Solanum lycopersicum: one gene and its partner. The protein of the gene in region 1 interacts with the protein of each later gene in a pairwise test. Links are inferred from orthologs where the notes say so. Each region holds a gene or a part of one and is shown on either strand. Other genes may lie near its edges. The genes, in order: MAPK12 and phantastica.

Region 1 (13,030 bases):
AAATTCAATCAAGAAATATACAGATAAAAAAAAATGAGGAAGATAAAAACTTTTATATTTCAATATGCCAGTTTAATAAAGACATGCCCTACATAGGAAGATTTGAAGGTCAAGAATTATAGATAATCGAGTGTCGTAATTATATTAGTTAGTATATGTGTAGTATTTTATTTTCCTAATTTCCTATTACATGTTATTTCATATGTCTAGTTTATCTTGCTATTTTATTGTTAATTTTTTTTTTTATCGTGATTTGATTGTATTTTTTTGAATTGAGAATTTATCGAAATTATCTTTTCTACCATACAAAGATAAAATAAAGATGCATTTGTGTATTAGACTGAACCCCATAGCTGGACAAATTAATTTGGGAGGATATGTAAGATGAGTTTTGGCTACCAATACATATTAAATTAATTTGGATTTCATGAATATTTTTTTTATTGATTTGGTTGGTAGATGTTTCGTGATGAACTAGAAAATGATTCAACTTACTAACGAAAAAAAAAGAGAGTACATTATAGCATTAAAAAGAAGGTACATTATAGTGTATGGGTAGTTAAAGTGGTTCATTAAGCCACAATTTTTAATTTGTTTTAGCATCAGAATGTACACAAATAAGCAAAGAACACCTAAACAATTAGCATGGAAATTATATGTTCACTAAACCAGATGCCTCGTGATGAGAGGAACGAACTGTGATCGAAAAAAGAAAACTCGAGGGACATTTTTCGCTTCGTTGAATTTCAGAAAGAGACTCGCTGTTGCGGAGAAGGGGAGGGGACATTACCATCACTAAAATGAATTTCATGATGAAAATATGATATAGTCTTCATGTGATAACAACTAGGAAAAACTGACAATTAGGAAATAGGACTAGATCCCCTGCAGATTCTCCTGCCTGTACAACCCACCATACCCTTTTGTCCAAAGAGTTTCTGCCACCATTCCTGAGATGGACTTTCTCCAACCCCACCCAACATGTATGTATTCATAATTTCACCACTTTGGAGGTGTATTTTCTAGTACATCCTGGACATACCATACTGAACAGTCCCTACTTTCCTATGAGCTGCACCACTAGTAGCTGCTGCCGCCGCAACTCCAATTCCACCATATTGGGATTTAGCCTGCAATAAGTTTGTGTCTATGGTGATTCGGTCATCAACACGATCTGGTTTTGTAACTCCAGCTCGCATCATATAGAATGGGTTGCTATCAATATTTATAGCAATATCTGGGGCTAACTTAGCAGCCATTCCACATGGTGCCATTGGCTTTGAATGACAATTCATATCCCTCTCTGTCTCAACAGACCTTTCTTGTTTCACCACCCCACTTCTGTCGTAGCTGTAAACTGAAGACATAATCTGAGGGGGGCCTACTGCATTCCTGACTTGAGACCTAGGATCATATTTTTCTCTATTTCCCGAATCATAAGCCAAACCGGGACCAACAACTTTTCCTGGTTTGGCTGCTGGATTTAAATAGAAGATTGTGAACCATATGAGCATCATTGGAAACATCACAGTATTACAGAAAGTCAAAGTAGAAAAGTATTTCATCATTGACGGAAAATACCTAAAGCATTTCTTGGCTGAGCCTGTAGGGTTCTTGTTAGACTACTTGCAAGGCCTTCAGAATCTCTGCAGTTTCTACTGCAAGACTCTTCACCATTTTGTCGGTCTCTCATATTGGCAACAATAGGCTGTTCTTTCAAAGGGTTTGGATTTGAATGTACAACTGTAGACCTGCAATAGAATCACCGTGTTATCATTTCTAACTTAAAATAACACCAAACAAACAAGTTATACAATAAACTTTTGATTCATTCATCTTAAAAAATGCAAACCAAAGACTGACAGATATTGTATGATTGCATATACAAATTTACATCTGAAGCCAAAACTAAGATGCATATAAAGCATGAATTTAATAAGCAATCTAGTATTTGAATATCTGAACTAGTGATGGCCCGATTAAACATACTATGTAAATATATAGAAGGATATTAACACAGAATTGCAATTTTATTTTTATTTTTTTTTGGAGAATGGTAACTAACACAGAATTGCAATATAAGTGCATGCAGGGAACGTCCCAAGCCGAAACATCAACTGGTTTCCCTAATAGCACCAAACATCCAGTCAACTCAAATTCTTTATACCAAGTTGTCATATAAAAGGAAAGATTTGATCTTCTTCCTAGAATGGTAACTAACACAGAATTGCAATACAAGTGCATGCAGGGAACGTCCCAAGCCGAAACATCAACTGGTTTCCCTAATAGCACCAAACATCCAGTCAACTCAAATTCTTTATACCAAGTTGTCATATTTGATCTTCTTCCTAGATTAGACGATGTTATAAAGGAGGAAATTTGAGCACCAGGACTCATAATCACCTTGGAAGAGAGACATGCTTCCTGTCCATCGGAACCACTGGAACGCCATTACCACCGTTCTCTTCCAAGTGAGCGAACTGTTTCCTGAATTGATCAACAGCACTGCAAGGAAAAGCAATATGTAGTCAGTAATCCTTTGTTTAGACGAGTAAGCTGATGCACAAATGTCAAGAAAAATATACTACCTCGGATACAGAAAATTAGTCCTTTCTACACCATTCAAGTAATCCTTCCTCAGCTGAGGATGATATTCTAGTATCTCCCGGAATATTAATTCCCTGAGATCCTCCTTCGTCACTCTTCGCCTCTCAAATTCGAACTCCATTTTTGAAATTGACTTGCATGATGGTTCCCTTTCAGATTTAGCCAGACCCTTAAAATAAGGATCAGCTAGTGCCTGATTTGTTGGGTGGGGGGTGTATTAGTAATTACCATGCAAGAGAACAAATTATACTAAAATATCCAAAAGAAAAGCTCAAAATTAGTATGATCGGCATGCTAACACGAACCTCCTCAGCAGTGGGTCGGTCCTTGGGGTCAAAAGCAAGTAATCTTTCAAGAAGTTTAAGGGACAAAGGATCAGCATTTGGAAATTTCTGAGCAAAAGAAACAGGCTGCTTCTTTCTCATGCTAGTTAGGTATCTCCTAGCCTTGTCATTACGCACCTGCAACAGCCATAAAAAAGTCTAATGAGAAACACAAGTTTTGAGGAAAAATTGTCAAAAACGTAATGTTAATTGAATTCACATACACGAGAAATTGTATCCATTGAAGGCGTTCCAAGCAGATCAGTCATTAAATCCAGTTGGTGAACTACATTTTTTCCAGGAAAGAGCGGCTTCCCCGTAAGAACCTCAGCAAAGATACAGCCTATGCTCCATATATCAATTGCAGGGGTATACTGCAAGCAGAAACCATCAAAATTTGTGATAGTCAGAACTACATGCAGTGCAATGATTATAAACAAATTCCAGGAAAATTGACACTCTACTATGAAGGGTGATTGACCTCACAACAGTGCAAAATATCCATAATGCACAAAAGGATCAGCAAATTTGATAGAAAAGGTAAAATGCAAAGTGTTCAGCAAGTGCAGAGCATGTAAACAATAATTCTGATCCATGAATAAGAAAGCTGTACAATCAGAAATATCACACGAGACATGCACATATACATCCCACGTTTAAAGCCACCGCCGCCCTATGTAGATACTGCAAAATTTTAATTTTTACCTTCATAACCGTGGTGTTCATGCGGGCCACCTTGCACGCACCACAACTAAATCCATGAGATACCCCCCCACTTCCAAAAAACAAAACAACAATTTCCAGGCAACTTTATCCACCAAGGCTAGGACAAATAGGAAGAAATCACCTAGTGTTTTTTTGTCCTTTTTTGGGATTTGAACTTGAGACCTCATAGGTCTCACCCACTTCATTGACCTCTAAGCCACACCCTTGGGTGCTATTAATCATAACGAGAAACAAATCAATGGGTTAACAGTGAGAAATGCTTCTAGCTTGTGACAGCACCTAACATACAACATTTCAATCTATAAACCAATGCATTGATTACATGTCAAGTTTTCTGGACATCAAACTATTTGCTTACTAGAAGTACAATGAAAAAAGAGTTGGATTAGAGAGAAAAATACAAACAAGAAGAAATTGTATTCCTATTTCATCGCTTTAATTTGATTGTTATTTCTATAATCCTCTTTAAAAGAAGAATCCACATACTTGCATGACCTTTTTCACTGCAAACTCACAAAAGCATGATCAATATATTCTATTGATGAAAGAACTTTTAAGGAAATCCTAACTGTACCTTGGAGTAAAATGAACCGCATAACTCTGGAGCTCTATACCATCTAGTAGCTACATAATCCTGCAATTTTCACAAGTGAAGTTACTACAAGAGTGAAAACCTGTAAAGATGAATATGACATGTTGGTAAATATAAAATGCATTCAACAGATAAGTGGGGAGTGGTGGAGGAAGAAATATGCGAACATTCAATATCACCTACCGTCCAAAATATTGTGGTAGGTGTATCATTGAATGCAACTCTGGCCAATCCAAAATCACAGATCTTGAGCTTGCAATTTGCATTTGCCAAGATATTTTTCGGCTTTAAATCTCTATGGTAGACATTAGCTGCAGGAAAACAAAGAATCATCAAAATTATGATAACCCACATGAAATGATTAGTCCACTTACTGATGCCAACAGGACTGGTCAGTGCCCCATTTAGAGATACACAAACATAATCCTCTCCGAAATTTGAAAATAAGGGGAAATAGATTATGTGTAACATTATAAGAGCTCAAAATTCTATGGGATCAAAAGATGCAGCAAAATACCAGACTGATTTACCTGTGTGTATATATTTTAAGGCACGAAGCAACTGATAAAGGAAAAACTGATAATGTTCCCGAGTCAAGTCATCATTAGCCTTGATAACTTGGTGTAGATCTGACTCCATGAGCTCAAAAACAACATAAATATCTTTAAAATCCCTCCTCGAAGGTGGCAACATAATATGCTTGATTTCAACTATATCAGGATGGCGCAGAAGTCGCAAAAGCTTTATCTCCCGGAGGATCCGTGCCGCATCAGATATATGTTCAAAGATGTCATGAATTTTTTTAATTGCGACTTTTTCACCAGTGTGCGTGTCAATGGCTGAGCAAACGACACCATAGCTTCCTTTCCCTATGACTTCTTGAATTTTGTATCTATTTGCATCACCATATTCAGAGAAGAAGTCCATCTCTGCTGAACTCTGCAATATGGTACATAAACTCAGATTATTCATTTCAGATAAAATAGACAAGCATTCAACATTGCCAGTCTATGGTACGTCCACAGCTTTACGCATCATACAAGACATTCCCTAAATAATTGTCATATTTCATCCAATTCTATGAGTTCTGCAACGGTTTAGAAGAAATGCACAAGATCACAACTAGCACACATGTCATTTACTAACATTTGTACAAATACAGAATCTAACAAATAAAAGTCACCCTTCCAAAATATGATTCAACAATATAGAAGAGTCAAAACCTGAATGCTGCAAAATACCATTCTTTAATTTGAGTAAAACGAGCATATAGCCAGAACTACAATATGATGGATTACATAAAAAAAATTACCTAGTTTAAAGCAAGTAAAACATTTGTTCGCTGTATCTTTTCATAGTGGAATTGCATATAACTTGAATATTGTCTGTAATGAATTCACTCATAGTAAATAAAATAACCAATGCAGGAAGTAATCCCTCCATCTTGTGAAATTTAAAAGTGTCAGAAAAGATTATACTTTTAACTACAAAATCATCAACATGCTTAAAGAATGATGATTGTCCATTCAAAGAACAACTCAAATAACTCCATCTGCACAAATTTACAATCCGGAACCCACTTGAAGTAATTCGAACGGACTCGAGTACAAAATCATGCCTCCGAATCTCAGTTAGTTGACGGAATAAGTGATCCAATTTACAAATAAAAACAAAGATAGAAATAAACAAAAACACCCACTTGGCACAAAAGAACCAGAGCCTGACAGAGACGAAAAATAGGAATGATGGAAGGTATCAATTATCAACTCTTTTCAGCTTATCACTCAAGATTGACATTGTAACCCACCTAATCATTTTCACACCCACCCAAGAAAATTACTATTTAACCAACAAATTCACGAAGAACCTAACAAATCCAAATCCCAAAATCACAAGAAAATAACCATAGAAATCAGAAAGCAATGCACCAAACAATAGCCATAAAGCTAAATTTCCAAAAAAAAAAAGAAGAAAAATCTCACTTTCTTTCGGTGATCAGGCTGCATTTTTCTAAATAATTCGAGAAACCCCACAAATCCAAGTATAAATCCGAATCGAGTGATCCAAGTAGACAAGAGTGTTGAATTCAGAAATTCAGCCGCATTTACCCCAACGTCCTCTGCTACGGATGGCGAAAGAACAGTCCCAGTCCCACCTAATCCTCTTCAAATTGTCCAAAACTGGTATTATTATTATCACGTTATCCTGATCCTTCATAAACTCTCCCTCAACAAGAATCATAGAAATGGGTTCAACATTTCCACAAAAATACCTCCAAAAAACAAAACCCTAAATCTCAAAATTCAAAATTGCAAGAACTCCGGGATGGGATAATTAATAATGGAGTATGAAATCAAAGAGATATGTGGATCTGAAGAAACCCTAGCTGGTGGGGAAGAGGGAGATCTGACACCGACAATATTGAGGTGGGGTTGGAACTGTAGGGTGGTTGTGTTAGAAAGAGAAAGGAGAAATACAATACAAATATAAAGCACCTATATTTATTTTAATCTATCTATTCGATGTTCGATATTTAAAAAAAATCAAAATATTCATATTAGAATACGAAAAAAATAAATTATAAATTATAAGATTTACATTCGGGACCTTTTTAAGAGATTCAAACTCAAATAGTTTAAATCTGTCTCAATTAACATTTATGATATCAAGCACCGAGTGTGAGATGGAGTTTTAAAGAATGACAAAAGTCTCTTGTGTGATTAATGTGATGGGTCTCACATCGATAATTAATGAAATAATTAGACACTTTATAAAAATCAATCACTAGACACATTTATTCTGTATATCAAAATATGTGTAGAACATTACATAAAATGTTGCATAAAACGTCAAGTAAATTATCTGTATTTATTTGTTCAATGTTATACAAATTAAAATATCTTGTTATAATACACACATAAATATTAGATGAAAGTAAATTAAAGGACAAAATTTATAATACATTATTCATTGTTAATAATAGAATAATAATATTAGTATAAAGTACTTCATGTATTATATTTTATTAGGTGCATGTGATGTGAGTGTATCTTATCTGTATATACAATACATTAGTGACATCCAAGCGGCGTGTGCATTCAACACACGCAAAAGAGGCAAAAAAAAAAATATATATATATATATATATTCTAAATTTTAATATTAATTTATGTTAAATACTAATACTAATAGGCAATAGCTTTGAGAAGTAGATTAACATAAAGATATTCTTATTTTGTTAATTAGAGTTAGAAGTTTATTAATGATTAAAAACATAAATTTAATTATTTTTATGAGTACTAAAATTACTATTTTACATAAAATAATGAAAAAGAAAGGTATCTCCGTGCTTATAAGAGCACCACAAAATTGGTTGGTGTGTTATTAGTTTGGAAAGTTTGAGTAATATTGTGGTTGCATGCACCTTTCAACTTGGTCTACTATTAATAATTATGACAATATTTTAATTTAAATAAAAAAATTGTTTTTAAAAATCTTCGAGACGCTTGAATATAGCAAATTAATAAAGATATTAAATAGTTATTTTCCTAAATGACTAGTGTATATCATCATTTCATTTTAACTGAAAACATATTTATTAATGAATGATATGAAAAGAATAGTAATTATTTATTCGTGATAAATAATTATATCAAATCAAATAATTTAATTTTAATAATTCAATACAGAAGAAAGAGTACAATTATTATGGGAAAAAATTACTACATTATTTATATCAAGAGTTAATCTATTGTTTAAGATGTGACATTCAAACTACAATGTTGTCTAGTTGTGTTTCTTTTTTTCTAATCCAACTTAATAATGTAAACAAAACATTAGTAATTGAAATTTTAGGTTATAATATACATTTTATTATGAGAAAAAAAAATTGTATTAGAAATAGTTTAAGCAACTTGCAATAACTTTTTGTATTCCACTTTAATTATGTAACCAAAGACAAAATTTCAGAAGCAGTGCCATGAAATTAGGGAACACGTAGAAAAGGTGATTGTCGAAATAAGATCATATAAAATTATATTTTATACTATAGTATATTTTATTTTCAAAACTTTGAGTTGATATAAAAATATCTTATTTATCGCATCACAAATTTCGTCGATATCCATACATATTATTATTCACATCACAATTAGTAGAGTGATGATAAAAATGAGTGACAGCAACCTGCCAACTATTAGTATTTTGTACTTATTATAATGTGTCGGTTCCAATAAATTTAACTCTGTTTCTAAGATTCTACGGCCGATTTGTTTCTTTATATGCCTTTCTTTTTATATACTTCTAAAAAAATTAAATTCAGTTTTTAAATTTACGTGGTTTATATTCTCTGTATTTTTTAATATTAAATTTATATTTTCTTAAAAGAATCAGCTGATTTTTAATATAGAGAATTATTTTTAAAAAAATTTATAATAATCGAATTCTAAATGTAATATCGGACGGTGCGGAAAACAACAGAAAATGACGATTTGAAAGATTGATTGTGTGCTGACGTAATTTCTTGATTATTCCTATGGTTTCATTGAATATTCGATATGGATAAAATAATTTAGTAGATCTAACAATGAAGTAATATAACTTTTTTCTAATATGCTTGGTAAAATTAATTTTTATAGTGGTTCGATTAGTTTTTTTTCTAACAAAAAATACTTTGGATTAAAAAACAAGTTATTATAACTATTAGATATTTGATAGTACATAGTTAATTTATCGTTAAGGTGATTGATCAGATGAGGATCGTATATTTGAAATTTTCAAACATATTTTTTAAGTTAAATGCATGAGGTCTGACTTGTATAATATATCTCTCGAGGCCATAATATTGTGTGCTTCCAATGTCAATAAAAGTAACTCATCCAGTAATATTTAACATTCAAAAAAACTGTCAAATAAAACACATTTTGTGCCGAAATATAACAAGAATCGCCTCATCCTGGACCATCGTACGAAAAACTATTATCGAAATTCTTTTTATCTGACATTAAATTGGAACCACATGCATCGTAAGCACCTTTTACTAAATTCAATGTAATAGTATGTAAATCAAGGACAATAATATTTATCGTATTCGAGAATAATAATTGCGTCTGCTTATCTATTTTCATATTTATTTTTTATTTATATCATTAAAATTAATTGAAAACGTGCCTTCACAAGACTATGTGTACTTAAAAATAAATTAATCCTCTATTGTAAGGTCCTAATCAAGTTCTCTTGACATCTAACATGTCAATAGAATTGGATTTTTACTAATTATATGATGGGGCTTAATTAATTTTCCAGCTGGCTTTTAAAAAGTGTCATTATAAGTTGTCAAGTCACAACACAGTAATCTAATTAATAATTGTAATTAGCTACATTAAGGAGTTTGTCAATATTAGCTATTTTTTAATTAGTTGCTTAAATGAATAATAAAGCAATAAAAGGGGTTGGTGTGAAAGTGATGCCTTTCTTTTCGTCAAAATAATTAGGGGAAAAGCGTTTAAAATAGTTTTTTAATTTTCGCTAGTAGTTGAGATTTGTTTTTATTTATATCATTCGATCAATTTATTTATATCGCCATCCAAGTTAACAAAAATGCACAATTTTTAAGCATTTTCCCACCGTGTACAAGATACCTGACCTAATATTTGGGTGAGGTGAAAGCCACATGTGACGTGATATACAACTTACCGTCATATTTCCCCTTTCATTTCAATTAATTCTTTTTTCTTTATCTAATTACAAAATATACAATAATAAATATAATAAAGTTTTATATGTGAAGGTCTGATTCTTAATAGGGTAGTGTGTATACGACTTTATTCATATTTTATACAAATAAAAATATTATTTCTAATAATCCATCGTCTTAATTAAAATATATTAAACACATACGAGAATCATTTTTGCAACAACAAATAATGTAATTAAGTCAATTGAAATATTGACTTTAAAATTACATGATTACACAAATAGTGAAAAGCACTAGAGACTGATACAAACAAAATTATGATAATTCTCATACTCCTTAATTAACGTGAAATGATATGAATTTTCTTTGTCCCCTCTGCACAAACGTGTATTAATTAGTAATTAATAAATTGATTTGAGTCATCGACAATTATGTTCTAAAAGTAAAAGTTACTGCAATTAATAGATTTTGTCTTCATAATTCTATTGTAGCAACAGATACATATGCATGCAGTTTGCTAAATTAATCAAAGTGTTTATGGGCTAAATATTGATTAAGCGAAAAAAGGCAGATTCCATCTCTCTTTCAATTAATTAAATATTACATATATTTAATTAAATATTATATACGAATTAAAATCCTAATTAAGGAAATAAAAGTGTTAGTATAAGTTATTAACCCCCTAAAATATTATTGGATAGTTACTTACTTCCTAGCAAAGATAGAAACCCATAACCAACCTAAATAAAGCAACCAACAAAAAATATTATAAAATAAAACATCTTAATCAACTTTAGCATGATGTTCATATCATGCATAGTGCAACAACTAATTAATCGCTAATATGATCAGTGGTGAAATCAGAAATAATTAGTAATATTATAAATCTTATATTTGACCTTCTATAAAAAAAATTAAACATATTACTTTTAAAAATAACTCATATAATATACAATTTTAATTCAATCAAAATTTAATATCAAATATCGAAACTATCAATAAATTATGGGATAAGTTTGAAATAAAAATACAAATTGTTGCTCCAATCACTAAGCTTTTGACGTGAAAGAATGAATGGTGCAACTATTCATTCTTTTTAAAGAAAAACAAAACCATGTGCTAAAAAAAAAGTTTAATTATCCAAAAGACTCATTCAATTTTTTAAAATTGTGGAAGCTGAATCATTTCTTTTCCTGTTGCCTAAAAATCTATAGTAATTTTAAGATACAAACTAGCTTAAATATTAGGATTATAATTAATAAGATAGAAAAACATATTGATAATGAATATTTAGTTTTGTAAAGGGTAATTTTATTAAAATAATATTCTTGCTTATTTCATTGATTTACGGCTTCTTTAATTCTATTTTTTTAAACACCAACTTTTTCTTTCATTTAAGGAATGTGTTATCTGTTTCTTTAAGTTTGGACTTTGGAAAAATGAAAGCTGAAAATTCGTAGGAACAAACCACAAAATATTTTACTTTTTTTCTAATCAGATCTTCTGGTAAAAAGATTGTGTTGAGTGAAAACATTTCAACCATAAAAAAAGACATTATTTGATTCCGCACATTATAAATTTCGATGTAATATGATAGCTTGCAAATTATATTAGGAAAGTTTCGTGCGATGAACTCAACTGAGAAAATATGCAAGAAAATTCAAACCTTGTAACCTGTTCATTGAAGATCACATGTTCAATCAACTCAGTCACCCATATGAATAATTTTTTATATATTATTTTTATCGTCTAGTTAAGTTTTTTTGTTTGGTTCAAACTATTTGGCGAAGTGTCAAAAACATGATTTATTCCTAGCGAAGTTCAATTGTCATTACCTAATTTGACTTTACTACACAATGAATGTAGCGACATTTGTTAAGATTTCTAGTTAGCTGAACTGTAATGCTGGTTGATCCAAGATATTTGATTCTCAGTAATCGTTTGGTGTGAGGTATAAGATATAATAATTCAGAAATAAAATGAAGAACTATTTTGTTTTGCGTTTGGTCTGAAGGTATTAAGTAGTATTTGTATTATTAATTCTACCATTTTTATCATAGTGATGAGACAAGTTATTTCATATACATGATGAGATAATTTATCCTGCAATAGTTAATTATAGAATAACTTGTTTCGAACTATAAAAGTCTATAGAAGGAGGGAAATACCAAAAATTATTTGGAAAATTACCTAAATCTCTACTCTCACCTGTTCTTGGATACAACACTCTTACCGATGTATCAGGACCCGAATTATTAGATGTCGAACGATGTATCAGAAATCGAGATGTGATGTATCGGGACGATGATTGATGTATTAAAATTAAGATACGATATATAGGGACGTTGAGTGATGTATCCGAAATCAAGTTACGATATATCACAACGTTGAGCGATATATCGGAAATCCTTATATTTTAAGCAACTTTTATAATTTGAAAAAAAAAAAGAATAAGACATAATTAGCTCATAACACTATGTCGTTTGTAGCTAAATTTATGGCTCGTGCTCTGTATATTGGATCAAAGTAAAACCCATGTTACAAATTGGGCTATCTGGACTCTATCTCTGTTGGGCTTAATCAATTACACTTTGACTTCGCAGGCCCAATAAAAGGATTTGTATTCAAATTAAAGTTTTCAATACTTCTGAAAATGTATCAATTCAAAATTGATATTGATTTGCTCTATATGAATTATCAGTGTATCAATTCACTTTACTATGTATTTGTTCGCTCTAGTACATAACAAATGGATACAATTCAAAACAATACACTGAGCATTCAATATGTTGTATCACAATTTATTTCAAAAGTAAACTATTGTTTTATTTGGTAAATAATCAAATTCTCGCAATGATTGATAATTAAGGCTCGAAGTACTATTATTTGTTAAATTTCACAATCGTAAAAGAACTCACATGTCCCTATTGAATTATGGAAAAAAGAGTTGCCATAAAGTAAAATAGAAAAAAAGGACATAAGAGAAAAAAGAGTTGCCATAAAGTAAAATAGAAAAAAGGACATAACTATTTTTATTTTAGAAAATTAAGTGGGAGCACGAACTATACTAAGTAATCAATTAATAAT
Region 2 (13,003 bases), on another chromosome or scaffold:
AGTTTAAACTTCATTCAAGTACATAGTTATTGAGATTAGCTATGACCTACAAGTTATTCTATAATTGCCTTTGGGGCTATCCGATATTATGGTTACTTGCAAAGTTATATTAAAACTTATTCACTTCGATGATACTTAACACGTCTTATGGTCAAAGACGAAGCTAGATGGAGGTTCAAATCCTATACTATCAAAAAGAATTCTTTTTTTCTCTTTAAAGAATGTATATTTTATAATATTTTTCTCTTATGCCTTAAAATTTACAATCTCAAACTCTTAATTCTGACTTTGCGCCTAAAACATTACCGCATCAATAATGAAAGTTGAAAGGGCAAATGTTGGTAAATATGAAGTTAAATAGAAGGATGAAAGAAGAATAAATATATATCTATATATATATTGGTTAATTGTACTTTATTTTGTGTATATAAAAGGGGGTGGGGGGGTAAAAAATAGATGTAACGTATCACTGACAAATGCCATAGAGAAGAAAGAGGGCAGTCAAGTCCTGTCTCTTTCAATCTTCGTCTCCTTATGCCGCGAAACCCGGACTACAGTCCCTCTCACTCTATCCCCACCCCACCCCCACCCCCTTTTTACCCCCCCACCCCCATATCAAGTTTTTTTTTTTAAGTTGCATTATCATAATTCTTATCTTTATATATTTTATATCATTTTGTTTTCGATTTTTTTACTATATTATTATTGTTACGGTTTATGTTTTCATACGTTGAATCGAGCGTTAAATTTCTCCACTCACACGAGATAGAGATAAAGAACTATTATATGTCTCTTGAAGAATGAGCCGAGTAGTTCTTTAGTGAATGAACGTAAATAAAAAAGTTATATATAATGTCAATCGATTACTAATTTGAGTGTTCATATCAACTTATATATATTTTTTGAGTATTTATATAATAGGTAACTAAACTTAGGTGATTTATGTCAAAGAATGACGAAAGTTGTACATCGACGATTAATGAGATGGGTAGACTCGTTGTAAGGTTTGGACAATCCTATTCCTTTTGAACTAGCTTTTGGAGTGTGAATTAGGCATGTGAACTAATTTCACATGATATCAGAGCAGAGCCCGTTGCTTATGCACTAGATGCTAAGCACTGATCGTGAGGGTAGTTAATTAGATAGATAGATTTCTTATAAGTTTTGAATAATACTCTTTCTTTAAAACGAATTGACAAATTAGACCTAAGACATAATTTCATAATTTATATCTAATCAAGATAAATAAAACTCCATATATTTTTTGTAAAATGATATTGTTGATTGGAATATTTTGTTTTGCCTTATAAGGAAAAAAATTGGAAAATAAATCCTTGTCTCCTATAGTTATAAAAATACATTAGACTTTCTGGTCACAAAGGCTAGCTAGTTGTCATTTCAATCCTCGTAAGTCCCGTAGCTAATGATGACCAGAGATACATAAATACAAATTTTATATTGTTTTATTTTATTACTATTTTTGTTTTACCGTTCAATAGATATTAAAATTTTGTAGAAATCTATAAAGGGTTCAATTTAAATTATCTATTTAGTCCTAAATTTTAGTAATGACTATATATATGATTTTATATTTGTTGAAAAGCATTTCGAACAAGTGATCGAAAAGTTGAAAATATCTATCACAATACATGAATTATTCATACAAAAAATTAAAATCTCAACTAACTTGTAAATTTGTGAAATATTTATAAAGAGGTCAAATTCAAATCATTTTAATTTGAGAATTATGTTACTAACAATCCTCGAATTATGAATATCAAATCTAAGTCATCCTATCTTGAGAAATACGTCACCAACTACGCTCGAATTATGAAAATCAAGTCCATACATCTAAATTTAAGGAATACGCCCACTAACGATTCTCAAATTATGAATAGATCTAGAAATCTAAAGGAAAAGAATAATGTATCTACAATATTTATCAATAAAATTATATTTCTTTATATTTTATTTATGATTACAATTAAGTTTTCATCATTTTAAAATTTATTACAAACACATAAATAATACAAATTGCTATAACAGTACTTGCTACATTTCTATTTATACATTATCATTTTAGATTTTAGTCTATTCTTACAGAAAAGAAATAGATAACCTTATGAATTTATCTTTATTTAGTAATTTTTTAAAATCAAATTTTTATAGATAAAAAAAAAAACAACCTTTAAAAAAAGATTCTTTTTAAAAGGCACTATTTTTACGAAAAAACAGGTAACCTTATGAATTTATCTTTATTTAGTTAACCTTATGAATTTATCTTTATTTAGTTAACCTTATGAATTTATCTTTATTTAGTAATTTTTAAAAATCAAATTTTTATGAATAAATCAAAAATATAACCTTAAAAAAAAGATTTTTTTTTTAAAAAGGCACTATTATCAAGGTGATACTGTGATGCTACTTTTTTTTTTCCCACTGTGGGGTTAAAGGGGTGGCAGTAAAGAGTGTAGTCACTTCGAGTAGGAGGCAGGTTTATCAGAAAAATAGTTAAAAAGATTTCATAAATAATAAAGTTGAAAACAATAAAAATCAAAACAGTATTTTTTTTTCCACTTTTCAAAAAAGTAATAAAAAAAAACTAATTTTAAAAAAATAAAAATAAAAATAAATGCAAGAGTTTTGATGATGATAGTTTCAAAGAACTAGGCAGATGCTAATCAGTACTACTGTCTACAAAACTTCCCTTACTTGCCATTATTGCATTTTATGATTCTTTAACCCCCCCCCCCCAACCTCCCAACAAATAAAAAATTATAATTAGTAAAAAAAAAATATTTTATGTCAAAGTTGAGTATAGTCTTTATTTTTTTTTAAAAAAAAAAGGCTTTATAATTTGAATATATTTTGGATCTATTGTATTTATTAAAAAGATTATGGTCAAATACTCTCTCTTTCTATTTAGTTGTCCACTTTAAAAGTGACAAACATATTAAGACAACAATAATTATCACAGGTTAGTTGTAATTCTACTATTAACTTTAAAAATTATGCAACTCTCCAAGTATAATAAATATATTTTCTGATTTCAAAAAACATCCATTACAACTTAGTAATATTAGAAATTTTCTAGAATGAAATAAGGACATATTAGGAAAAATATTATTGTCCTTTCTTGATTTATTAAAATTGACAAATAAATAGAAACATATATTAAAAAAAATATGAACAAGTATATAGAGACAGAGGAAGCATTAATTTTTAAGAAAAGTGACTTTTTTGAACAAAATAATAATACTTTGAGTTTGTCTAGTTTTAATTTAATATGGAGAAATTTTATTTAAAAGGCAATTTAAAATGAATTTATTATATGCAATTATAATTTAATCAGAGATTCAATAAAAATTTCGAACACAAAATCGAATGAGAAATAAAACAAAAAAGATTCTTGAAGATCACAAACTATTTTCGTATTTTGAACATATTTTCTGCACAAGAGAGTCTGTAATTTTCTGCAAACACTAAATTAGAAAAGCTACTATTTCAATGAAGCATGTATTTATTCATATTTTCTCTTTTTTTTTTTATTACTCAACTATTTGAAAGTTACTTGTGTATTAAAATTAAGGCATAATAAATATGTTGGATTTTTAAATTTAACTTAAAATTTTAATTTTAACCTTTAATTTTTATAATACACAAATAGATATTTTAACTATCTAATTTTTAAATAAATAAACACACGAGTTCTATATATCATAATACACGTAGGATAAAAAATGACCTGTAGGATGACATACAGGACATGTGTGTCTATTTGTTCAACTTTATACAAGTTTAAGTGTATATTTGTATACATCCAAAATTGAAGGGCATAATTATGTTTTGAAGCCAAGTTAAATAGCATATTTATATATTATGAAATTAATACGTGCTATTATTTTTAGTAATACATATTTGATAGCTTATTACTTCTTTTTTTTTATTTTATAAAACTCAGCACAAAACAATTCATGTGTACTATATATTATTTTTAGTACAATAAAAATGATTATTAATTGTAATCAATTTTTAATTGTTGTTAAATATATATTTTTATTAGCAATTGTCATTTTTTATATATATTTTTATAGTTTTTAGCGATATTGATTCTAATGACACTTAACTAATATCGGTAAAAACTTTAACATTATTTATTAATGTCAATATTTAATACTGCTAAAAGTTATTTTTATCGTAGTGACAATATTTAATAAAATAAGGATTAGATGAAAATTTATTATGCTATGTTTAATATTTCATCTTTTTTAATTTATAATTGAACATTGTACTCTATACACTGAAACTTTTAACATAACATCTAAAAATACATTTATAGCTATAGCTATAGTTCACATATTTTCGAAATTTAACTATAATTTAAATTGCCTTGTATAATCTGCAGATGAGTTAGTATAATTAACGGATAGGTTTATACCATTGAATATTTTTTTTTTGTATAAATTCAAATTAATAAATTTATACAAACAAAAATATATTAATTTTAAAAAATTATACAATATTATACACACATTCTAATTACCAACCAACATTCAAACTACAGACTTATCATAACCATCAACATCGATAGATGAGACCAACTTTAATAAGATATTAGAGTTCAAATTTTATAATAATAATAATAATGTGAATTTTTCATATAGTTGTGATTTAATGGTCATATTTATCGCAATAAATAATGATCTTAGACTTCAATTCAATATAACTATATGATTTGAACTTTTTACTATTTGAATCTTTCGCCTCTCACTTTACTTTGAATATATAATCTTGAACTTAAATTCGAAAGCTAAAATATTTTTACAATGAAAGAACTTATATTCCTTCTCAGAAAGTTTTCATCTTTTTATTTATTCGATAGAATTTTTATATTTTTATTCACTTGATAACTTAAATTCACAATATTAAAAGTAAAAACATAAATATTTATTATACGAGCAACTCTTTGCGATAATTTGAATTGAGGTGGTGATACTTCTAACTTTTTTTTTTTTTTGAATTTTACCCTCTAAGAAGATGTACAACACTAGTTGTATAATAGTGCGTGTGTACAAATAACCTTTCTGGTTAAAGACGCCATTGCCGTCTTCGTCATCACATTCTCTATACACGTCATTCTTCAAACAGAGAGGGCCATACCTTACCTCTTTTCTCTCTTATTACTCTGCATTTTCCCTTTATTTTCTGTTTCATCTCTCTTCTTCTTCTTCATTTTCTCTTTTGCTTAAACGTAGTGTATCCTTCAATTTTTTCTCTTTCTTTTACTCATTTTCTTGAAATATAATAAAAAAGATCATATGGGTCGAGCTAGAAACTGGGATGCCTAAGTTGTTTCTTGTAAGTTCTTTTGTAAATCTCTTAAAGTTTGCTCCTTTTTTTGATTCTGTGATCAAAATGATGTGTTCTGTTGTGGGTAAGTCTTATAAAGTTGTTTGCTTTTTTTTTTTTTTGGTTTACTGAATTGTGTTTGCTTGTCTTAACAAGAATTTATATTAATGGTTTGTATTTGGTGGAGATAAAGAATCTATCTTTTTGCTTTAGTGGTCTCTGCATTATCATTTTGGTCACTGCATTTTTTTTTTAATCTTTTTGCTCATATTTTCTTGAAATAGATTAAAAATGATTATATGGGTTGAGCTAAGAACTGGGATGCCTAAGTGGTATCTTGTGAGTTCTTTTGTAAGTCTATGAAAAGTTGTCTCCTTTTTTGATGCTGTGATCAAACTGATTTGATGGGTATTTTTCTTTTTTGACTTTATTGTGTTTTCTGGGAAGTGGAGTTTTTCAGTGCTGGCAGCTTGTTTCTTTATTTTTTTAAATACTGATTTGTGTGTTTTTGTTCTTTCAAGTATTCACATGTATGTCTGGTGGAGATAAAGAATCTATCTTTTTGCTCTAGTGGCCTCTGCATTACCATTTTTTCTGTCCCATATTGCACAATCTGGTTTCTGCATCTTTTCATGAAAAAAATACTGAAAGATCTAATAGGTTGAAGCAAGAATTGTGCTTCCTTTGAGGCTTCTTGTAAGATTCTCAAGTCTTGTTCCCTTTATGGTTCTGTAATCAAACTGATATGATGGATGCTTTCTACTATGTTATGTTTGTGTTTGTTTTTCAGTGTTGGATTGTGTGTGGAAATTTTTTTCTTAAGATGCTTGTCTTAAACTGAATTGTGTCTTTTTGTTCTTGCATTTACATGTATGGTTTTTATGCTATATGTGGAGAAGATAAGGAATCCATCTTTTGGCTGTAATGCTTTGCATTTCCATCATCTCTGTGCCTTTTTGCAGAATTTGGCTTCAACTGTAACTAGGAAAATGTTGAAATCTCTACCATGTTTGTTTTTGACTCAGATCTTACTAAGAGTTGTTTTTATATTGCTAGTCTTGAATCTTTCTATTTGTTGTCAATACATTTTCTGGTATAACTACCTAATTACATTTTGCATAAAAGTTCTCCCATCTTTATTGTGTTTTCTCACGTTAAGCTTGTTTTATTCTCTATCTTGATATATTGAAGATATGTGTCACTCAATTTCTGTGGATAGTCTCATTGTGGTTATCTGGTGTTTCTTGCTTTTTGTCTAGCTATTTTGATAGTGTATTCGTTTCCTCAAAAAACTTATTTTTTGAGCCTGAGAGTCCATTAGAGACAACGTCTCTACCCCACAAAGGTAGGTATGGTCTGTGTATTTCGTATGCTCCCGAAATCCCACTTGTGTGACTACACTGAGTATGTTGTAGTAGTCTCAGAGCTTGATGTTTCATAGATATTTTTGGACATGAAAACTTTAGTACTCTTAAAGGGTTATTGCAATTGAGCTAAATGAACATGTGTTAAGTAATCTAGGAAGAAGGGTGTTACTTAATTTGCATCATCATATTCTGCTGAGTTCTTTTTTGTGTTTGTTATGCACTTGCAATGATCTTGTACCTCAATGCTGGTCAAGAAGGATATCGATCTAGATAGTGAAGCCGATTGAGTATTGTGATGTCTGATTATTAATGATCCGTGTAATCATACAATTATGCCGGTACATTGTTAATATATTGCATCAAATGATTTATGTAAAGCATGTTTCAATCAATCTACTTGTGTGCACACACGTCTGCTTTCGTTTTTTCTTTACAGTCTTTTCTGCATATATCTTAGATGTGACCTTCGAATGTGGCTAGTCTGGTCTCTGTTCATGTTAATAGTTCAATGACGAAGGGTCTGAACAAAAGTAAATGTGAATATATTCTTCGATTCTTTTCTTATTTCTATCTGATTAATGATGTCTTCTAGAAATGCCAACTCAATTTTACATTATTTTTAATATTGATCTGGTCCTGAGTAGTGATACCAGATTGACATAGCAGCACTTTCTTGAAAATTATGACCTGATACCCCTAAATAACGCGGTTAGAACAGAGTTACTCCCTCTGTCCCAATTTTTGAGGCCGTGTTTTATTTGGAACTAGCATGTTGACTGTGTTTAAAATATGTACATCATTTGTTCTCATTATCTATTTTCTATTAAGTTTTGTATATGAGCAATCAGTTGTATTCTTCTCTTGGATATGTCTCGAGTACTGGAACATTGCATGAGTTTCCTTTGTTGAAGTCCTACTGAACGATCATGATCCTTTGTTACTGTGACGGTATTTTATTTAGGGGCGTTGTAATGACTTCCCATACAAGTTAAGATTTTAGTAACTACATTAAATGTGATGCACTTGCATGTACTTTGTTTGTGATCAATAGCTTGCTTAAGTTATGGTTCAGATTCTATACTCAAGTATTGCAAGTAAAATGGTGCGAAACATTCTTTCAGGAAAATTATGAGGAGTTTGGGAGGATGGAAACTGGTGTTTACACCTGGAAATGAGGGAGAGGCAACGGTGGCGAGCTGAAGAGGATGCTTTGTTGCGAGCATACGTGAGACAGTATGGACCAAAAGAATGGCACCTTGTATCACAGCGTATGAACACGCCCCTTAACAGGGACGCGAAGTCTTGTTTAGAAAGGTGGAAAAACTACCTCAAACCAGGGATTAAAAAAGGATCACTCACTGAAGACGAGCAGCGTCTTGTTATACAACTACAAGCCAAACACGGTAACAAATGGAAGAAAATAGCAGCTGAAGTACCAGGTCGAACTGCTAAAAGATTAGGAAAGTGGTGGGAAGTTTTCAAAGAGAAGCAACAGAGAGAGCAGAAAGAAAACAACAAGGTTGTTGATCCAGTAGACGAGGGAAAATACGATCACATTCTCGAAACCTTTGCAGAAAAGATTGTGAAAGAAAGGAGTGTCCCAGGTTTACTTATGGCTACTTCTAATGGAGGTTTCCTCCACGCCGATGCCTCAACTCCTACGCCACAAACTCTTCTTCCTCCGTGGCTTTCTAATTCTTCTGCTCCTTCAACTGTTAGATCATCATCTCCATCTGTGACTTTAAGTCTCTCCCCCTCTACTGTGCCGCCTACACCTACACCTGGCATTCCGTGGCTACAGACAGATAGAGGACCTGATAATGCGCCTCTCATCTTGAGCAGTTTTCCACATCATAGTGTTGCTCCTTGTGGAGAAAATCCTTTTATTACTGAACTTGCGGAATGCTGCAAGGATTTAGACGAAGGGCATCGTACTTGGACTGCACATAAGAAGGAAGCAGCTTGGAGGTTAAGGAGGGTTGAATTGCAACTAGAATCTGAAAAAGCAAGCAAAGTTAGGGAGAAAATGGAGGAAATTGAAGCAAAAATGAAAGCGCTGAGGGAAGAACAGAAAGCAACTCTAGACAGAATTGAAGCAGAATACAAGGAGCAACTAGCAGGCTTGAGGAGGGATGCAGAAGCAAAAGAGCAGAAATTGGCAGAGCAATGGACATCCAAACACATGCGCCTTGCTAAGTTTCTTGAGCAGATGGGATGCCAATCAAGACTTGCTGAACCTAATGGCGGCCGCTAAAGCAAAGCTTGCAAGCTAAGCCAAGAATTCTTTTGTGTTTCCTTGCTCCTTTAGACGGTTCTTTCTACTTGCCGCGACTTTTCTTACTGTAAACTTTTTGTTTGATCATCTTCTATTTGGTTTTCTATGTTTTCCTCTATGCATGATATGATAATTTTATAATAGCCTGCAACTTGTATTTTTGTTATCTGCAAAGGATCTGTTGCAACTTCGCGACAACATAACGTGCTTGTATCTTTTCAGTAGCAACATCTTTTAATATTGCTTACTCAATTTCTTGTGCTAGTATATAATTAGAGTGGCATTGCATGAGCTTACAGTAAGTGCGACTCAGTAGAAATTGATCAATCCTTTTTCTTTGTCGTTAAGGTGGAGGATTGAACCGAGTTCTGATATATATATGCTAGATTCCTCTGGTTCTTCATTGATTTTCTTCTTCATATGGATTTTCATCAGAAAGGGAGGTTCTCTAACAAAATGTTGAGTTTGTGTTAAAAGTAGCTATCTTTTAATAGTTTGAATATAGTATTTTATGAGTATTCTAATTTAGGTTTTAATCATCATATTTGCATGAATATCCTTCAAAAAGATATTAGAATTTAGGTTTGTTCTTGTTTCTAAGTTACTTGAAAATCTTGTTATATTTCTCAATATTAGACATCATAAGTTGTTAAAAGAGTTCAAAGAGAAATGATGGTATTATTTTGCATAGTAAAAATGTATGAACTCTTAAAACTTCCATCAATTATGAAAACATACATGTTAATAAATTAGAAATGTGTTTTTGATATGGTTGGCTATTTTTCTTGTTCTAAACATTGGAAATCTTGTCAAATATAAAACTTCATCAAAATATAAAATAAAAAAGCTCAAAATAATCTTTTTTCTTTGGATTAAAATTAAAAGTTTATCTTTATTTTTTACATGTACTACTAATAGTCCTTGGTGTTTGAAATATTAATATCCTTTCGATTTTTCCTCAATCATTTGTCTGTTTTTAAAGTTAATTTTATTCATAATTTAGTCTGTCAAATATTCAATCGCGTTATTTTATGTTTACTAGAAATAATAATTTTACGAAAAAGAAGGTAACTAGAAAAGTGCTCCATGTTCTATTCCTGTTCAATCGTCGTTGTAGCTAAATAAAAAATAATCTTTATTTTTTTGAACTATATCAATTGATCGTAGACAACTAATGTTGCAACAAATGTTTATGTACTAATGCATATTAAATTTGTCGTGATGAACCTTTCGATCTCAATATTTTTTTTTAAAGGAAAAAGATTAGATGGCGGACGAAAATTATAAAACTCTTATTATTGTGTTTTATATATATAAAAAAACAAAGATATAGTTGATTCTAGCTCAATGATAAAAGAGTATTTTAACTCTTATTATTTTGTTTTATATGTATAAAACAAAAGATGTCGTTGATTTTATCTCAAAGATAAAAGAGTATTTTAAGTTTTTTCTTATATACAAAAGTATTTTCAATTTTGGATGGGATAATTCTATACTTCTTTGTACTAAAATACTTGTCATAAATTTTTTTTGGGGAAATTGTTTATAATGGCAAACTAATAAATCAAATTAATTGTTATAATCACCCATTGATTTAATTGTGTTTCCATAGCAAACTGTTTGTTAGTCATCTCCCTCCCTCAAACTCTCGCTCGCCACTCTCCTCTCTCGCTCCATTTCTCGCTCGCTTCCTCTTACTTTTATTCAAATACAAGCGTATAAAATATGTTTCTATTTGTATAAAACGAGCAGAAATTGTACAAATACATATATTTTTGTTCCCCTCTCCCATATCTCGCTCGCTGCTCTCTCTAATCTCGCTCGCCACCCTCGCCTCTCTCGCTTATACAAACAGAAACAAAATGTATAAATTATGTTTCTGTTTGTATAAAGCGAGATGAAATTGTATATACACAAGCATATATATATATATATATTCGTCTAATACACTTATAATTCTACAATAAAAATATTCACCTGCCCAGTTTTTTCCGTCTCTCTCTTTCTCGTTTTATACAAATTCAAACTGTATATAATTTCTCACTTTTGTGTTTTATACAATTCGATTCAATTGTATATTTCCTGCCCAGGCCTCTTTTGACTTTCTCTCTTTCTCGTTTTATACAATTCTCTATCCAAATCTCTTTCTCTTTCTCGTTTTATACACTTCGTTTTACAAAAAAAAATTCTATTGTATATATATTAGCAAATTATACATTTATATGTTTGTTACGGAGTGCAATTATGCAAACTTTGCTGTAACATACAAATATGAGTTTTACGTTTGCTATATGTGAAAGTTGCCCATTTCTTTAGAGTCAAACAATATGAATTTTTATCTATATTAAGATTTTTTTTAATTACATTGATATGCTAAAAATTACCACTGTTATAACTTTATATATATATATATATATATATATATATATATATATATATATAATTAAATTAATTTAATTTTAAAAATTAATCAAATTGATTATCGAGAAGGAAAACATAAATGCTATTTTAAATCGAAAGCAGTATAGAATTAGGCACATTTCTAATGAGTCATTTGTTAGCACGACAAGAAATAAATTATTTAAATATTATTTTTCGAATAACTTATACAACATTTTATAGATAAATATGAACTAATTTATTTATATATAAAAGTAATATCACATTTGACTGATAATTTAGAAATCAACAATAATTAATACATATATAAATTATGTATTATCTTATATCAAATATATATATAAAAAATTATTACCTATATAACTAAATCATATCCAAAAATTTAATACTATAAGAGGAAATATAAATATTACCTATGAATATGTTGGAATTTAATAAAATCAATCACACAATTTCAATGGTAAAAACTACAAATTGATAAAAATCTGAAAACACCCATTCAAGAATCGTATGCCTTTAGAAATCAGTTAGGGTTTCAGATTTTCGTATAATTTTGAAGGTTTGATTGTGTAAGACTGACAGTACCGTTCAGCCCTGGGGAACAATAATTGTGAATATTGGGGATTGTAATTGCGCCGATTGGATTCGGTTCATTTTTCTAATGGAGGTTGATTCTGCGCCGGCGCCGGAGACGAAGATGACAAGTCCGCAGGAATTTATTCTTAAGGTACTCCGGTTAACTTGAATTTTGCTTGGAACTAATTTTATGTATTTTGTACTCTCCTATTATGCGTGATTTATAACTATTGAGGTTTTTAGTATTAAGATAATCACAATGCTTTGAAATTTTGAAGATAGAGTGGAATGGATAAGGATTCATTCATTTTGTTGAAACTAAATAGTTTGGGATATAGGTGTAGTTGAGTTGAGTTTTATATGATTCATCACTGAACTGGAGAAATGAAGTTGGAAGGTTTATATATGTATTGATAATGGTGATGTTTGAGCTAGTTTGTGTGTACCTCGACTAATTCAGGTAAGCAGGTAAATCACCGTGTTTTGTCTTTATTGGGATTGGACATGAGACCTGAGACCTTAGGGTGTTCAACCCACTTTATTGACCACTAGGCTACACTCTTGCGTGCTAGGTTGTATTCTTCAGCGTTAAGGTATGCTGGCTAGTGGCTACCTCCAAAAAGTTACAACCTATATCCATAATTGCATTGATCCTAGGAGATCTATCAATTGTTCTACTTCTTCTATACCATTTTCTTTACACCAAAAATACAACATGTTAATGCAATTTTCTTTAATTTTCTGAATAGTGTTAGTAATATTCTCATGAGCTAAGACCACCATCCTTTTTGGGTCTTGACCCCCCCCGTTCTCATCCAACAACTCAAAAGATCAGCAGTAAGTTCTGGCATCACCTAGGGATCTTGAGCAATGCTGAGAACCATGTGCCACACCTGGACAGTAATCCTACAGTGTAGGATAAGTGGCGGTTAGTTTCCTCCTTCTCATGACAAAAATAAACATTTGGAGACAATATGGAAACCTCTTTTCTTGTGTTTTTCCTGTGTGAGACATGCCCTTCGAGAGAGGTGAAGCA

What was found.
Region 2: the proteins of MAPK12 (region 1) and phantastica interact in binary tests that used the Arabidopsis thaliana proteins (3 or more experiments, as listed by UniProt). The link is inferred for Solanum lycopersicum from reciprocal best matches to the Arabidopsis thaliana genes MPK20 and AS1.

What each region holds. Positions count from the first base shown.
Region 1 is NC_090806.1:66,707,283-66,720,312, reverse strand, and holds MAPK12 (mitogen-activated protein kinase 12), read right to left. Parts: upstream 6,420-13,030; 5' UTR 6,255-6,419; coding exon 6,231-6,254; intron 5,188-6,230; coding exon 4,779-5,187; intron 4,560-4,778; coding exon 4,432-4,559; intron 4,291-4,431; coding exon 4,231-4,290; intron 3,305-4,230; coding exon 3,155-3,304; intron 3,069-3,154; coding exon 2,913-3,068; intron 2,801-2,912; coding exon 2,589-2,800; intron 2,506-2,588; coding exon 2,404-2,505; intron 1,752-2,403; coding exon 1,582-1,751; intron 1,478-1,581; coding exon 1,023-1,477; 3' UTR 886-1,022; downstream 1-885.
Region 2 is NC_090808.1:4,652,810-4,665,812, reverse strand, and holds phantastica, read left to right. Parts: upstream 1-5,208; 5' UTR 5,209-5,358; intron 5,359-5,867; exon of another isoform or gene 5,868-6,045; intron 6,046-7,837; 5' UTR 7,838-7,887; coding exon 7,888-8,970; 3' UTR 8,971-9,097; downstream 9,098-13,003. Other genes in the region: E3 ubiquitin-protein ligase PRT6, read left to right, coding at 12,053-12,118.